5 linked regions of the Xenopus tropicalis genome follow. The protein of the gene in region 1 purifies or fractionates together with the protein of each later gene. This does not show direct contact. Links are inferred from orthologs where the notes say so. Each region holds a gene or a part of one and is shown in the gene's direction. Other genes may lie near its edges.

The links.
Region 2: the proteins of mpp5 (region 1) and patj purify together in Homo sapiens (co-immunoprecipitation; 5 studies listed by BioGRID and IntAct, counting the BioPlex papers as one, with this or other methods). This does not show direct contact. The link is inferred for Xenopus tropicalis from reciprocal best matches to the Homo sapiens genes PALS1 and PATJ.
Region 3: the proteins of mpp5 (region 1) and yap1 purify together in Homo sapiens (affinity purification with mass spectrometry; 6 studies listed by BioGRID and IntAct, counting the BioPlex papers as one, with this or other methods). This does not show direct contact. The link is inferred for Xenopus tropicalis from reciprocal best matches to the Homo sapiens genes PALS1 and YAP1.
Region 4: the proteins of mpp5 (region 1) and lin7c purify together in Homo sapiens (affinity purification with mass spectrometry; 3 studies listed by BioGRID and IntAct, counting the BioPlex papers as one, with this or other methods). This does not show direct contact. The link is inferred for Xenopus tropicalis from reciprocal best matches to the Homo sapiens genes PALS1 and LIN7C.
Region 5: the proteins of mpp5 (region 1) and amotl2 purify together in Homo sapiens (affinity purification with mass spectrometry; 3 studies listed by BioGRID and IntAct, counting the BioPlex papers as one, with this or other methods). This does not show direct contact. The link is inferred for Xenopus tropicalis from reciprocal best matches to the Homo sapiens genes PALS1 and AMOTL2.

What each region holds. Positions count from the first base shown.
Region 1 is NC_030684.2:119,268,263-119,271,782, reverse strand, and holds part of mpp5 (MAGUK p55 subfamily member 5), read left to right. Parts: intron 1-267; 5' UTR 268-397; coding exon 398-764; intron 765-3,520. UniProt on the Homo sapiens protein: Plays a role in tight junction biogenesis and in the establishment of cell polarity in epithelial cells.
Region 2 is NC_030680.2:85,750,424-85,753,943, reverse strand, and holds part of patj (inaD-like protein), read left to right. Parts: intron 1-2,542; coding exon 2,543-2,743; intron 2,744-3,520.
Region 3 is NC_030678.2:162,264,127-162,266,734, reverse strand, and holds the end of yap1 (transcriptional coactivator YAP1), read left to right. Parts: coding exon 1-74; intron 75-502; coding exon 503-615; intron 616-1,851; coding exon 1,852-2,090; downstream 2,091-2,608. UniProt on the Homo sapiens protein: Transcriptional regulator with dual roles as a coactivator and corepressor. Critical downstream regulatory target in the Hippo signaling pathway, crucial for organ size control and tumor suppression by restricting proliferation and promoting apoptosis.
Region 4 is NC_030680.2:21,036,553-21,040,674, forward strand, and holds the start of lin7c (protein lin-7 homolog C), read left to right. Parts: upstream 1-1,305; 5' UTR 1,306-1,437; coding exon 1,438-1,474; intron 1,475-4,122. UniProt on the Homo sapiens protein: Plays a role in establishing and maintaining the asymmetric distribution of channels and receptors at the plasma membrane of polarized cells.
Region 5 is NC_030681.2:130,250,294-130,253,813, reverse strand, and holds part of amotl2 (angiomotin-like protein 2), read left to right. Parts: intron 1-793; coding exon 794-947; intron 948-2,036; coding exon 2,037-2,181; intron 2,182-2,771; coding exon 2,772-2,864; intron 2,865-3,520. UniProt on the Homo sapiens protein: Regulates the translocation of phosphorylated SRC to peripheral cell-matrix adhesion sites. Required for proper architecture of actin filaments.

The sequences.
Region 1 (3,520 bases):
CTCTGGTCATGCCCATTCCCACACCTTGTGTCTCAACCCTTTCTCCTTGTAGATTGTAAGCTCTTTTGGGCAGGGCTATATATGTCACTCTGTATGTCCAAAGTATGAAGCCCACTTAATTTTACAGCGCTGCGGAATATGCTGGCGCTTTATAATAATTTGTAGCTTAATTGGCTGCATTGATGTATAATTGTGGGGTGGGCAGGTTTGGCCTGGAATTAAGTTTTTTAACTTTTGCTTAATCATTTTTCTTTCTTTTTCAAACAGGGCAGCATTAACATCAATGCCAGCTTTTATGTGCAGCTCATGAAACCACAGTGAGCTACAATGGGATACTGTACAGACTACAGGACATATACTCACCTATAAGCACCTGGACTGGGTGGTGCCGGCAGTCATGACCACTTCTCATGTGAACGGACATGTAACAGAAGACTCTGACAGTGACAAACAGAGCTCGGATCTTGCTTCTCAAGAGGAGCCACCCAAACATAGGGAAATGGCCGTCGATTGTCCTGGGGACTTGGGTACGCGGGCGATGCCCATCCGGCGGAGTGCCCAGCTGGAACGGATCCGGCAGCAGCAGGAGGATATGAGGCGTAGGCGGGAGGAAGAAGGGAAGAAACAGGATCTGGATGTTAATTCATCTATGAGGCTTAAAAAGTTGGCACAGATTTTCCCCAAAACTGGAATTGACAACCCTATATTTGATACTGATGAAAGTCTAGTGTTGGAAAGTCCTAGCAGGGCTGTGAAAGTACTGGGTATGTATTAACATTCTCTATATGTATTACTTATACATACTTATATGCAAGAAAAGACTTGCATCCTTTTCCCATTAAAGGTCAGAAGATGAAGTTTAGGTAACAGCTGGAAATTTACACACATCATTTGGGGTGCAGTAATATTTGTCCTTTATTTCCATTGTTCCTTTCTGCTGTAAAAATAAATAAATAAAGCTGCCAATCACAGAACCTATGCCCAACCAGTAAGCCCATGGGCCATGTGAGCAGCTTGAATGTTCCAACCTGATTATAGCAGCAGCAGTTCTAGCATATAACTGAGGAAGCTGCAACTGTGGGGGTTCATTTGCTAGCTTTGGGAAAATATACCCTGATACAGTAAGCCATAGCAATAAATCAGTTATTAGCTTTTATTATTATTATTACTGCAGTAGACAGATGAAAGCTAATTGCTGATTGGGTGCTTGGGGAAATGTTGGTAAATGAGCCCCAGTGTCTTTTACATCCCTGCCTTAACTCCTGCCCAAAAACTTCTTTTTTTTTTTGCTAAACGGGGTGTAAGGTCCCTTTTCACAAATATGTCAGGTGCTGTTACTAGCCTATTGCCAGGGCACTGTTCTTTGCCTAAACAAATTAGTTCAGCTCCGGAGAGCAGCAGTGATTTAGAGAGTACTTGTAGGTGCACTAAATCAAATAAATAGGGTTAATAGGAAGGCGGGATTTATGGCTAACTGCTTAAGGCACTGAAGCAATACTGTCATATCCTGCCATCTCTCTATAATACTAACAGCCGCTTACTTTATGTGGAAAAATGCCCTAGGCATTTGCCACGAGCTGATAATGTCCTCCAAGCAACCTGCTTGCGATCACTAGTGACACTTCAGGAGTTATCATGGTAAGCCCACCTGTACATCCCCCACCCTGCCGCCGCACAGCGCCATATAATCATCTCTCTAATGCTTTATTTACCTACCTACGCCCGTCCCCATAAATCTAAATTATAGCTCAGACTTTGGATCCGGCTAGCTGGGAATCTTAAAAGCCCTTCATTACAGGGGATGTCCATGATATATAAGTGCATAAAAACAGGAACAATATGCTGGTAGATATGGAATTTATTAGTTATTGAAATATAGAAACCACATAGTAGGTGAGGTTGATAAACAAAAAAAACAGACTGCCAAATTTCCAACCAGTAACTGCCAGAAAAGAAATTGCACTAATTCTTTTGTGCAACTTGGTAGCTGCCACAGGTGGACAAAAGTAGATGAAACTGTGAAAATCTGGCACTGAGAACCTCAATTATAAAGGTGCCTAGCTGACTGAGCCTGCTGGTAGGGTGTGGTACTGCAAGCAGTATTCACTATGCAATTTCAGTAAAGCCCCCCATAAAATGCAGACCCCTTATCAGTGGAGGGCTTTACAACATACCCATCTAAGTATATATTTCGATAAGACGCTGTAAGCTTTGTTGAAATTAAAGATGGACTGGTAACCGGCAGACTTGTGCTCCCTCCTCCGTTCCGTTTGTTGCTGACCTGCAGGGCTTCGTTCCAGCCGCGTGCGTAAGCAGTGGTGATAGGGCCCTGTCCCCCCCCAACACAGGGAGTATTTTCATAACGCTTCTCTCGTTGTATTCTTGCTGAGTAATCACATTCCTCCCACCAAAATAACTTGCCCAGAATTCCCCTTTCATTTGTCACATTTCAAGTCTGTTAGTTTGTGTAGGGAAAGATTATTCAGATAGCTGACCAGTTTATAATGTTCCATATTCCTGCCCTGCCGTTTATATTGCGGCTTTAAGCATTGCCTGTTTACTAGGCACAGTGATGCCTTTCATTCATTGTTTTTAGTTTACCAATCTCTTGCCAATAAAGCTGGATACAACCTTCTTACCTTCATTTAAAGGAAGGCAACACTAGCAAACTCCCTGCATGCTTACTATTTGCTACATGTAGGCCACAGCAGAAGAGGGGTAAGGGGTTTCGTGCCTGCTGGTGTGGGTCCCACCAAAGGGTTTTTCGTGGGGGAGCCAAGCAACTCTACTACGGTCCATGTCACCTTTCTTAAAATCTTATGGTACTGCTATTGAGTAAGGTGCTCCCTCCATTCTTCCGTTGTCCACATTCATTTTTTAATTCGTTTCCTGTTTTTCTCCATTTCAGTCCATTATAAGCCCCTCTTAAGTACAGCTTTGTCTCTATAATATATATTTTATTTTATATAATATATATATGTAAGTGTTACCTTGGATTTGTAATATTGTGTATATTATTTATGTATGTGTGTGTGTGTGTATATATAATTTCTGTAGGGCCCACATCTGCACATCTGCATACTGGATAAAAGATTTGAAGTACAATGGCATTGCTAGAGTGAGTGTAAACAGGGAATGAATGCCACTGATACTTCTTTAGACAGCTTTAGGATAATAAAGGATATGATATGTATAATTTGTTCACTGATGTTACTTGACCCTAAATAAAAGATGCAGTCTGTATCATATTGTTTATGGTTTTGATATTGAGGTTTTAGTCGCCCTTTAAGAGAAAAGTTGCAAAGTGCATTGTGTGGGAGGTATATGAGCTTCTAAATGTCTAACCACTAGGGGCGCTTTCCTCTGTCTGTATGGTACATTTTGGCTCTTCTGGGCAGCTTGGCTGTGCAGGTATGAGGGCTTCATATAGGAGCATATAGGCCCATACGCTTCAGTATCTGGCTGAAGGCTAAGGAGTCAGGCCATGGTTCCTGACTGCTGGACCCTCTATGTTTACATA
Region 2 (3,520 bases), on another chromosome or scaffold:
AAGTTTAAGTAGACTTACAATATGTCATTCCAACTTGAGGAAAACTAGATTAGAAAAATAGATTCTATACCTGTTCTCGATGTGTAATATTTAAAAGTTTTAGTATACTTATAATTATACTGTAAAATACAGTTACAAACTGCTGGCTGGAAATGCACTTAAAGTGGAAGAAAATGTAGATTGTATCTGTGTTAGCAGGGTATCCAGTGCTGACTAACAACTGTGCATAGGGAAATTACAATTGACAACTAGTTTCTACTTATATCTTTCTAGAGAGGTAATTTACCATAATCCAGGGCAGAAGTACAAGAGCCCTTGCACCACTTAGGGGGGAATTCACAAAAGTGGTGATATTCTGACAAAATAAAAGTGGAGATAGATTTGTCGGATTTTCCACCTAATTCACAAACCTCTATCTCCACTTTTGTGAATTTGTTTTCATATTTTGTCATTTTCCCGACAATTTTTTATGAATTTGCCTTTAGCTCTTAGTAAATCTGTCGGTGCCATCAAACCCAGTCCCACAGCTACAGGAGCCTTGGGGTAAGGAATTTACCAACAGGATTTGGCATTTCATTTGCCATTTATCATTTCACTTTGGGGGCATTTCCTGAGGGGTAATTTTAGTTTGCCCAGGGAAACTATACAACATTTTGTTCAGGACAAGCTGGGCTTTCTAATGTTTTCTATATTTACTCATTACTAGTCAGCAGCAATCCGGCCCACATACCAACATGCCCAGTAAAAAGAGGTCCAACAGGACTAGGATCCACCGGGTTTTTATCCAGTGCCCTGTTGGGGCCAGTCCAACCCTGTACCCCAATATTCCAGTTTGGGTGCCAGTGTGTATGTGCTGTTTGCTAATCGCCAATATGGCAGTTGGGAACAGGTGGGGACTAATGCTGTCAGGCAGCTCTGTAGTTCTGGATATGCTATGGGGGCACAGATAAGTTGGGGCAAATGTCAGTGAAGTTATTACAGAGGGGGCACTGCTGCTAAAACTAAAAATTTGCCTGGGAGGCTTTACTTTTCCTTTAAATAAAAATGTTTACAATATATTCACTCAATGTTATTATTGCCTCATTGATTAAGCAAAAACTAGCATAATCATGCAAATGTGAGGTAAAAACTTTTTATATATAAGATATAAATTGAACTTTTTTTTAATCAGTGTTTTACTTGTTTATAAAATGTTAATGAGGCTTTTAGCACCTATTTTTTTCTAGGGTTATACAGAGACTTGCCCCCTAACAATAGTCTGCTAATCCCCATTAATATGTTAATTACCCCCTACCTTAGGTGTGAAATGGAGACTGGGGGAAACAAAACAGAAGAGATTAGAATTGATCTAACAGAGTTATACTGAGCTTCACTCCATTTTGAAAATGACTGGGAAAAATGTCAGGAAAAAATGTCGTTAAAACGTTGTATAAATGTCGTTTAAACGACAAATTCACAAACGTGTCTGTAAACTGTCTTTCTTTCACCAAAAACGGAAAAGTGGCGGTTGAGTCGGAATTTAGGCGGATTTCTGTCTGTGAATCTGGAGAAAGTGTTTTCCACCAGTTTTTCCACCACTTTTACTCCAAAAAAGGGCTAACTCCACTTTTGTGAATTCCCCCCATAGTGTCCGTAGAGAACACTTATTCAGGTTTTAGCTCTGCACCATGCATCTCATTAAAAAATCCAGTATTGCAGAGCACAGCATCCGCTGGCACAGGACAGTTCTAATCTGACTGCCCGTCATAGTTCAAATGGTAATTACAGGACCCCATTATAGACTGTGCTTGCTGGCACTTTTAAACGTGAATCTGACAAGGCTGATCCTGCCCTTGTGAACCTTGAATCAGGTGACAGTGAGTGAGCAGTTAATAGGGGTTCCAAAAAGCTGGTAATTTTATGAGCTGACGTTTGTGCTGAGGCTTTCCAACTCTTGTGTTTTTTCAGTTAAAATTTTCATACCAGTAACAGTTCAGAGCATATACACAAGTAAAAAGTTTGATATCAAATTATTATTTTATAACCAACTGGAGCTGGAACTTTTTTCTCACAATGATAAGCCCTCTATGAGACCAATATGGTGGATCCATCTAATGTACATAAGAACCAGTTCTGTGCAGTTCCCCAGCACTGAGTGGGGATGTTCTTTTTCATTGTGGCTACTGGCTGACAAGGCATGAATATCATCCTTGGAGGCTTACTTCATTGGACAGTTCTTGGTAAAAGACCAATAAATGTAATACAATTTCAGGTAATCTAGTTTATCAGCCCATTTATTTTGTATATTACAAACAGCATAAAAGTTCCACCTTAAGATCTAGGCACTGGCTTTAATGTATTCCCTTTTATGCCCAGTTTCCCAGGAAAGAATATATATTTTTTTCATATATCTAACACACATTGCAATTTGTGTAACCGTGTTTAAATGTATAATGCTGGATATTACTGCTAGAAGTGCTCTGTTGTTACCATCTATTTTGGTAAGTTGAACAAAACGTTTTTTAATTAACTTAGGCAACTTGGATCAATTTTATTTCCTCAGCTCAACCGAATGCCAGCTGACCGCTCTGCAGAATTTGATTTCACAAAGAAAGGTTTATTGGTATTTGAAGCTGACTCTTCCGCACACTTTGGGAACAAGAACAACTCTTTGTCCTTTGACAACTTTGTTTCATCTCAATTACCTCTTGTTAGCCCTTACTCAGAAGATGAGTTTAACAGAAAACTTCAACAGATGGCAGAGGTAAGGCCATGAGGTTCCCCACATTCAAAAGAAGATGCATTTTTTTGGAAATATTATTGTTGACAAAATTATTTTACTATTATTTTTACTATTTTACTATTGTAATCAACTTTAAGTTAATGTAGTGTGTAACATTAGAAAATATTTGCACAGTCTTTTTATCTCTGCAGATTTACCTTTTCTTATTTGCTGAATTGTCTTTAGGGAGAAGGCTGCACCAGTGAGTGTTTGTACCGAAACTTATTGGTGAGCTTAGCAGAGTGTAACTTCAGTCTGGTTATCTCTAATGAATTGAATTAACAGTTATGTCAATCTGCCTTGCCAGATATGCTGAAGTACAGCATACAACTCCATGCCTCGTTATTGCAAAATTATATGTTACAATGAAGGGTTTTATGATATACAGAAGAAAAAGTTGAGTATAAGTAGGCGCACATCAAGGAGCAGGTTTATCAAAATTTTGAGCTTGCATTTTTTTTTTCAATTTGAAAAAAAGTGCTAGAAAAAACTTGAATCTACACAAGACTATCTTTTGTTTTTAACCATAGTTCAAAGAAAAAAATCACATGAAGAAACTTGGCAAGTAAAAGCTGCTGAGTTTATGTAGAACATGTAAATTGTCTCAAGCAACTTTCTTTTCTCCAGTCTATTTAAACGTTCAAGATATTCAATGAAACAAGGCAGGACCAATTTGGAAGCTAGGTATTCCCTCCAGTGCCAGTTGGCACATGTGCACGCTACAGCCATTCAACCCTGCTAAACCAACTGTGTGCCTGG
Region 3 (2,608 bases), on another chromosome or scaffold:
CCAGTGTGTTCAACAGGGATTTCCCAGGAGATGAGAACAATGACAATGAACAGCTCCGATCCATTCCTCAACAGGTTTGGGCCAATTCTTATCTCCCTCTAGTGACCCCTTGTAATATTTAGCTGCTCCCGCCCGCCATGAACTTGCTTCCTAGTAACAGGCTGTATGAGACACACTGGGGCTCATTTACCAACACTGAGCAGTATATAGCAACCAATCGGCAATGAGATGCTTTTTTTTTTTTTTTAACTAGCTGAAGGAAGGACATTGAAAGCGGAAATGTAATTTGTTGCCATAAGTAACACCTCAGGTGTTGATAAATGAGCCCCAGCAATTAGTAGCACAACATCCACAGTAATCACACAGTTACACACTGGCAGGTATGCAGAGGATAATCTACATTAAAGACAACCCACAGTAAATATAAACTGTTTTGGAAGGTCTTCTTGCTTGGTAGTATATACTTTCTGAGCTTTATTTAACCATATTTCTTTCTCATCAGTGGAACATATCACTCCAGAGACGAAAGCACTGACAGCGGGTTGAGCATGAGCAGTTACAGTGTACCCAGGACTCCCGACGATTTCCTCAACAGTGTTGATGAAATGGACACAGGTCAGTTTGTCTCGCCATTAGGGGCACACAGTTACAATCTGTAGGGTTTGAACCTCATGTATAAGTTGTTTGATTAAAGGGCACTGTCCTTGAGAAGGTCTAGTTCAGTAGACCCGTATCACCATCTTTGCCAGGCTGTCGGATCCAAATAATAATGTCCAAGCTGCCATCGTAGAATGCACCACATGACCCTAGAAGTGATGCCACATGTGGGCAGATCACTGAAATTCTACAAAACAGCCCACATCTCTCCTAACTTCCCCTGCAGGGTACCCACACCCCACCTGCATAGTCAGTCTTCTTTGACTGAATCCCAACCTCTGTCAGGTACCCACGGAATACCCCCAATCTACTAAGATATGCCCCCCCCCACCCCTTTAAGCAAAACAGGGATTGTTTGCCCATATATTGCAATATATTCAAGCTGACCAACTACGTCACTGTCACCCCCGGTGTGGCCGGTCCTACACTCGCTCACCCCCGGTGTGGCCGGTCCTACACTCGCTCACCCCCGGTGTGGCCGGTCCTACACTCGCTCACCCCCGGTGTGGCCGGTCCTACACTCGCTCACCCCCGGTGTGGCCGGTCCTACACTCGCTCACCCCCGGTGTGGCCGGTCCTACACTCGCTCACCCCCGGTGTGGCCGGTCCTACACTCGCTCACCCCCGGTGTGGCCGGTCCTACACTCGCTCACCCCCGGTGTGGCCGGTCCTACACTCGCTCACCCCCGGTGTGGCCGGTCCTACACTCGCTCACCCCCGGTGTGGCCGGTCCTACACTCGCTCACCCCCGGTGTGGCCGGTCCTACACTCGCTCACCCCGGTGTGGCCGTCCTACACTCGCTCACCCCCGGTGTGGCCGGTCCTACACTCGCTCACCCCCGGTGTGGCCGGTCCTACACTCGCTCACCCCCGGTGTGGCCGGTCCTACACTCGCTCACCCCCGGTGTGGCCGGTCCTACACTCGCTCACCCCCGGCCTGGCCGGTCCTACACTCGCTCACCCCCGGTCTGGCCGGTCCTGAGGAGACATTGAAATAAGAGTATAACAATACAAAAAAATAAGTGCTAAGTATAAACTGGATATATTTAGTACAAAGAACTGCATAGCCCTAATTAAATGTTCATAAAACCATAACTGTATTGAGGAAAGGTACATTTTAGCAGCATAATGCTCCTTTTAAAGATTTTAAATAGAACTCGGAACTGACAGGTTACTGTTGCATTCTGTTTCTAGGTGAAGCTATTACCCAAAGTACAATACCTACCCAACAGAACCGGTTCCCAGACTATTTGGAAACCCTTCCTGGCACAAATGTGGACCTTGGCACGCTAGAGGGAGAAGCCATGAATGTGGAAGGGGAAGAACTTATGCCGAGCCTTCAAGAAGCTCTCAGTTCCGACATCCTCAACGATATGGAATCCGTTCTGGCAGCAACCAAACTAGATAAGGAAAGTTTCCTCACGTGGTTATAGAAGCATCTGCAAAACTGATTTCTAAATACCCGAAGGATTGTTCATGTCTGGAGGTGAAACTGAGTTTATGATATATACAGAAAAAATATCAGGCGGCGAGCAAAAACTACTTTTTTAAAAAAAAAACAAACAATTATTTTTTGATGTTTTTAGTATTCTCCACCCATTGCTGCTTCATTGCGTCTGATATATTTGAAAGAGCCTTATGAATCAACCACACCAGTCTTTTCCTGCTATAGCTGCCTTTTTCAGACATTGGTTTGGCCTACACGGATCAAGGATGCTTGGGAAGCGCTGCAGCCGACGGGGCTCATGTACATAGCACGCAAATCGTTTGGAATTCACCAGCCAATCCCAGAGACTAGAGACCACGTCCTAAACCCAATATAACATTTTGTATAAAGGTGTTTTTTTTTTGTTTTTTTTTAGAAATGTAGTGTTCTTATTATGGTAGCAGTACTGCCATACCAACGCTTCTCAGTCACTTTGTGTACTCTCAGCAATCCATTGGCTGTTTT
Region 4 (4,122 bases), on another chromosome or scaffold:
AGTGCTATTCCCCTTGCAGTCCTTACATCCTACCATTCCCCCCAGTGCTATTCCCCTTGCAGCCCTCACCTCCTGCATTTGCCCCCAGTGCTATTACCCTTGCAGCCCTCACGTCCTGCATTTGCCCCCAGTGCTATTCCCCTTGCAGCCCTTACCTCCTACCATTCCCCCAGTGCTACTCCCCTTGCAGCCCTCACGTCCTGCATTTGCCCCCAGTGCTATTCCCCTTGCAGCCCTTACCTCCTACCATTCCCCCAGTGCTATTCCCCTTGCAGCCCTCACCTCCTGCATTTGCTCCCAGTGCTATTCCCCTTGCAGCCCTTACCTCCTACCATTCCCCCAGTGCTATTCCCCTTGCAGCCCTCACCTCCTGCATTTGCTCCCAGTGCTATTCCCCTTGCAGCCCTTACCTCCTACCATTCCCCCAGTGCTATTCCCCTTGCAGCCCTCACCTCCTGCATTTCTCCCCAGTGCTATTCCCCTTGCACCCCTTACCTCCTACCATTCCCCCAGTGCTATTCCCCTTGCAGCCCTCACCTCCTGCATTTGCCCCCAGTGCTATTCCCCTTGCAGCCCTCACCTCCTGCATTTGCCCCCAGTGCTATTCCCCTTGCAGCCCTCACCTCCTGCATTTGCCCCCAGTGCTATTCCCCTTGCAGCCCTCACCTCCTGCATTTGCTCCCAGTGCTATTCCCCTTGCAACCCTCACCTCCTGCATTTGCTCCCAGTGCTATTCCCCTTGCAGCCCTTACCTCCTACCATTCCCCCAGTGCTATTCCCTTCGCAGTCCCACCGTCTCCCTTTATCCCAGTACAATTTCCCTGGCAGTGCCACCTTCTCCCTCTCCCCCAGCACAGTCCCCTTTGCAGCGCTCACCTTCACCCTTTCCCTACACACCCCCCCCCCATTCAATTCCCTTAGCAGCCCCATTTCTCCCTGTTTAATTCCCTTTACATTTTCATTTTCTTTCTTTCCCAGTTCAATTCCCTTAGCAGTCCCATAATTCTCCCTTTGCCCCAGTACAATTCCCTTACAGTCCCCTGTAGCCTTCAGCTCTTCCCCCCGGTGCATTAAGCCCTACAGGCAGCCTCACTAACACACACCCCCACAGCAGCCCTCAGTCCGACGAAGCAGTCACTAATCAGCTCCTATTCCCACTGAGCGCCAATCCTGCACTAGCAGGCCCCACCCCTCTCTCCCCGCCCCCGTTCTAGCGCTTTTCCCGCTCCCCTGTGTCACTAGTAGGGACCCCGGCAGTAGCACCGGTGGTAGCCCAGGCAGTAGGCAAGGCAGTAGTATTAGGAGTGGGGCTGGCGGCTAGACACGCCCTCACATGACCTCACTTCCTGCTTCGCACATTTGGTCATGTGACGGTGACATCACGACCTGCTGCAAGCCATTGGGTTTTACTATCTAGCGTTGTGTGTAGGAAAGAAGATGGCTGCTGTGGGAGAGCCCATTCGCTTGGAGAGAGGTGAGGGGCAGTAGCAGCGGGTCGGTAGGCTGAGAGAGTGGGGGGGGGTGCCGAGGGGATACAGAGCAGTGTGAGCGCCGCCACTGTGTGTGTATTGTATCTGTCAGTATCTGCCCCCCCCCTGTATAATCCCCTGTATAATCCCCCTGGCACTGATCCGCCCCCCCCCCCCCCAGTGACTGGGGTTCCCTTACAGTCCCACTCCTTCTGCCATTAGAGTGTTAGCTGTGAGGCCCAGGGCCCTACCTGCCGGCTGTATGTGCCAGTACTGGGAGGAGTGTGTATGTTTGGTACAGGCTGCTCACTTGTACTTTATAAATATGTCAACAATAATAGTAATCTATTTGCCCTGTCACTGAGATTTACTCTCTGTCTTATTAACCCATTTTGTTCCTTAAATATGTACCCTGCCCCCCCCCTCTCCTGGCACTTTGTACCCATCGCCCCCACACTGGCGCTTTGTACCCATCGCCCCCACACTGGCGCTTTGTACCCATCGCCCCCACACTGGCGCTTTGTACCCATCGCCCCCACACTGGCGCTTTGTACCCATCGCCCCCACACTGGCGCTTTGTACCCATCGCCCCCACACTGGCGCTTTGTACCCATCGCCCCCACACTGGCGCTTTGTACCCATCGCCCCCACACTGGCGCTTTGTACCCATCGCCCCCACACTGGCACTTGCCTAAAGGGGACGGATAGGTGAAATCACAGGGGGTCAATTTGCCCGTAGAGGTGCCACCTTCTTCCCCTAAGTCTTACTGGCCTGTGCCCCTAGGGAGGCAACTGGTGATGTGATGGAGGCGGGGTGTGGGCGGATCAGGGGCGGGGTGTGGGCGGATCAGGGGTGGGGTGTGGGCGGATCAGGGATGGGGTGTGGGCGGATCAGGGATGGGGTGTGGGCGGATCAGGGTGGGATGTGGGCGGATCAGGGGTGTGGTGTGAGCGGATCAGGGATGGGGTGTGGGCGGATCAGGGATGGAATATAGGCGGATAAGGGTGGGATGTGGGCAGATCAGGGGTGTGGTGTAGGCGGATCAGGGGTGTGGTGTAGGCGGATCAGAGGCGGGAGGAGAGCTGCTTACAGAGAACAGTTCTGAGTGCAAATAAATAAGTATCTCAGAGAAAACTTTAAGAAAGTGGAGGTTTACAAGTTGTCCCGCAGTTACGTTGCCTGTAAATTTGTAACATCGGCTCTAGGTGGTAGTTTGCCGGCTAGGCCTTTAAATTCCTGTCCAGGTGGCAGCCCTAGCCCTAGTTGCCCCATACACAGGCCCATAAGCTGCTGACCCCATGGTATTCCTATAATACAGGTGCTGGCGCTGATACTGGGGATCACAGGAGACTCAGGAGCATGAATCCTGCCTCAAAGCTGGGACTGTACTGGCTTTAGGGCAGGGCTGGGAGGCCACAAACACACACATCCACATGTGTATATATATATATATATATATATATATATATTTATAAAAGAAAAAAAAACAGACTTGCTGGTAAAATTAACTAAATGGTTTAGCAGAAAGGACATTCCACAGGGAGTAATTTCTCATTCTCTTCATAATAATATCCAATAATTGTTCTCAGTAGCGTCCAAATCTCAGTCTTCATGATTGATAACTGATATCTGTTAGTGCTTTTAGAATTGCTGTCTTGCCATGCTGGGGTCCTGGTACTGGTTTTCAGTAGGACAATATCTGTGTGTAGTTTGTATGGTCTTCTATGGTCATGGAAGCTCTATGGGGCAGGGATCCTACTGTATCTTATACCACATGGCATCTCTGTGTAGTTATACTTATTTATAGGTATATATTTATAACACTTGTCCTCCCTGTGTGTAATTGTTAGGCTGTGCTGTACAATCTATCTTGTTTATACATTATCATTAACATTTGGTGGAGCTTTATACCTAATTGTGGAAGGTGCAGCTATTCCCCTTTTTTGTTCTAACACTTTATATAGTTATACATCTATACATTGACTCTAGTACAGAGGGCCCACCCACCTCAAATGTTATAGAGCCATATATAATGTAGATTGAATAAACCCCCCCACAACCAAACCTTACATGCTTTGTGCCAATAGGAAAACTGTGCTGCATTATCCCAAGGAGCACATGTACGTAGGGGGGGGGGGGGGGGGGGGTAGAAAAACCAGTTTCCCTGATGCTATAGGCAAGTATTTTGGCAATGTTATGTTTTTCTGCATTGCGTACAGTGTTTTTCCGGATGAGTTCACGCAGTTTTGGCCTATAGATGTTTAGTTAAAAAGTAAAAAAAATGTTTTTGTGTCTGTGTGTAGATAGAGAGATAGACAGAGAGATATATATATAGAGAGAGATATAGAGAGGTAAATAGAGAGAGAGAGATACAGGGAGAGAAATATATATAGAGAGAGATGGATAGATTGATAGAGAGATAGATAGATGAATAGATGATAGATGGATATGATAGATAGATGGATATGATAGATAGATGGATATGATAGATGGATGGATATGATAGATAGATGGATAGAGAGATAGATAGATAGATGAATAGATGATAAATGGATATGATAGATAGATGATGGATATGATAGATAGAGAGATAGATAGATAGAGAGATAGATAGAGAGATAGATGAATAGATGATAAATGGATATGATAGAT
Region 5 (3,520 bases), on another chromosome or scaffold:
AAGGGACATGCTCACTCTCACAATATAAGAATTTTTCCCCTTTTGGATCTTGAATTAACTCTGGTATCTGTGTGTGTATAGGGTCACCAAAGGAAATGCCACTTCATTGTGGGGGGGGGGGGGGGGCATATTACATTCCTAGCGTTTCAAACAGAGAGGGAGAAAGGAAGAGCTATTATTCTCATTCCAGACTAACAAATGAAATCTGTGTGGCTCTTACTTTTCCTTCCAGGCATTTGTATGTAGAACTGGTCTGGAATGACTTTTAAGAATGTATTTGGAGCCCTTATAAGGCAGGGACTGTTTGTTACCTGAGGCATGTTTTATTTACCTGACCACAGTGTTATGGGCCAAGCCGGAGTGTCTGGTTTAAGTAGCAGAAATTGTGTAGTAATTGGCATAAAAATTAATTTAATGTTAGCCTAAGATAACAGCTGTAAAATATACATATATTAAAAATGGTTTTGTATAATAAATGGGTCATTGTGGTAAAAGGACTGTTTATTCAACTTAATGTAAAGTGGCCTGTTCAATTTAAACTTGAAATAACTTTCTGATATAACGCCAGAAATGGCTCTCCAGTACCTCAAGCCCAGCACTATTTATCATAGGTACTGTAACCTCACACTATACCACACATAGCAATCATTAGACCAGTATCAAGAGACTTGGCAGAATGACCAAGAAATACTTAACAGCATCATGAAAATCATCTATGCAGATGTTTTGCTCTACATATTGTTTTGCCAGTACAGCTGTGTGCATTCTATTTATTTCTTTTTATCTGTTTCAGACAAATTCAAGATCCTAATCTGAACTACGGTCCAATCGCAGCGTTCAATGCAGCCGGAACCCATATGGCTGGAATGGATGCCCTTCTGAGAGAAAACGAGAAGTTACGTAGGGAGCTGGAGAGCTACAGTGAGAAAGCTGTTAAGATTCAGAAGGTAAAAATCATTTTAAACTAAGCAACGCTCCATTTTCATGATTGTAGCCATAAAGGTTATGTCCCTATTAAGAACAAATAGGAATATTCTGTGTAGACAAAAAAGCTTCACCCTTAATCTTTAGTGTTGATTTAAGGCAAAATGAATGAAAAAGGTCATTACTAGTAGGGTATGTTTTCTCTGAAGACAATGTAAAAAGAAATACAATCATTTGGTAGGGGCTGATATTTCTGTCTGCCATTTGTTGGACTTCCACAACCAAAGCATTGAGGGTTTCTCCCAAGCAGCTGTTCTTCTTACACAATTCTTCGCCAGCCCGTTAACATTGCAGTACTCATTATAATTCCAAACGTTGCCCATCAACAAGCAGAGCATTGTGAAATGATTCCCAGCTGGCCTTGCAGGGTGGGACGTCTGGCCCATTGGTTTCGTTTTTGTCATCCCCAACCCTTTCACTTTCTTGAGCCCAGCGAGATTCCTTCTTTGCCATCTCCCCTTTAACAGCTGCAAAGGATCCTTGCACAATGGGGCAGCCATGAGCCATTTGTTAGAGGCACACTTAGAGCTGAGGGCCGCTGACAGTTGCTTAAGTCTTCTGTTCTGCTTGAGTTGACCTGATGCGGCATAAATGAGCCATTGTGTAGGGATGAAAAGGTGCTTGTGTTAGGAAGGCCTCAGCTGTAAGGAGAAGGGGGGGCACCCAGCCTCTAAACAAATGTGTAATCCAGAGGCAGGTGGTTCAAACTCCACTAAAATAAGCAATGCTTTAAATATGAGTCCAAAAAAGTTTTAGCTGCTGTCACAATGCCTTTATTAGTATATTTGTCTTAAAACAATAGTAAGGCTCAGACATTAAACCTGTCCCTGTTCATTTTTTGAAATGGTTGTTCCAATATACTGGTGAAATGGACAACTAAATCTCCATAACATTGTGCTTTACAGTTACTGGTCTGTCTTGTCCAGGCCTACAAAGTAACAGTAGCGTGAAGAATAACCAGATTTGTCACATACTTTAGAATGTTCTTGCTTTCTTGTGGAACACAAGGAGTGGAGACAAATGTGCCTGACAGTCTACTTGTTTCTTTGCAGTTGGAAACTGAAATCCAACGAATTTCTGAAGCCTACGAGAGTCTCATGAAGGCATCCTCCAAACGGGAGGCCCTTGAGAATGCCATGCGGACCAGAATGGAAGGAGAGATCAGGCGCATGCAGGACTTCAACCGAGATCTAAGAGGTTAGAGCTATGGCACACGAGGAATGTTAGACGTTGGCCTGTAGGGTGTGAGCCATCAATCATCGTTAGGAACCAAACAATAGCTATTAGGCTTGATTGAATGGACTCTGTGTGTTTAGAGCCTTTAAAATCCTTGTACAAAGGGAAAATAGACAATAGGCCTGCAAGGGGGATAGATCTCATAACCTCCACTGACATTGTCTATTAGGCCACATAGTTATACTTCATTTTTAAAATGATGTTTAAGGGTGTGACCATAATATATGGAGGGCCGCAGGTGGCCTATCACTATTTTATGTCATAGACTGGCCTTCCATAAGTTTAGTCTCTAGTCTAGATATTATAATTTCTTAAGTAGCCCTGTATAATTATATCACCTTTGGGGACATTGAAAAATAAGCAAAATTGTACTCCAACACCCAGTATTACTGCCTTTCAAGGAAGCCATAGTTCAAGAGTTGCTGGCGATACAAGGAGCAGCTCGTTAAATGTGTTTGTTCACTGGATTAAATACATGTCCCCTAAATGAGGCAATATCATGGGTGTCTTGCTTGTCTTGTAAACTCACTGCTTTATTGTTCTTTGTCTAGAACGACTGGACTCTGCTAACAAACAGCTGGCTGCTAAGAGTGTGGAGCAAAGGGAGGACTCTCAGGGAGTCGTGTCGAAACTCATTGCACAGTGTAAGTATCTTTTAAGTGCTTATGGACCATGCCACCACACTGTAGCAAACCCAGCCATTTCCTGTTAATAGTACACGCATATACTTCTACATGACCATTGTGTCTTAATGGGAGCAAAAACAATATAACACTATTCAACAGTTATTGCTTGTAAAAGCTAAGCTTTTATCATCATATTTATTGATCATTTATCCACTGGAGCCCAGTTACATTGTAGTCTATGGGTGAAATTAAAGTGGTTGTTCTGTTGAGAAACAATATGGTAGCTCCTACTTTTATGGATAAACATTATTCAGATAAGCAAGCCTTCCCTAGAAGAGTAATCTACAGAATAGTAGTTTGTTGTGATGCATGTTTGCCTTCACCTTTAAATAGCTTTCTATGGCAGTTTGCTTTTATGCAGCCAATAAAGGCTTGGATGCAATTTTCGTAGTTGGCAGGTTAAAATTAAAATCTATTGCTATTTGCAGATTTTTTTTTTAAACTATACATTTCTCACATATTTTTAAACACGTTTTCCAAAATAGGTTAAAATATCTTTATCCCCATGGGACAGACATTCTAGACCTCTCTGGCACCCACGGGGTTACATCTCCAGAGAGGGGGGGGGTATCATGTGCTAAATGCTTTCACTGTTTCCTGAAGAAAAGGTTGAA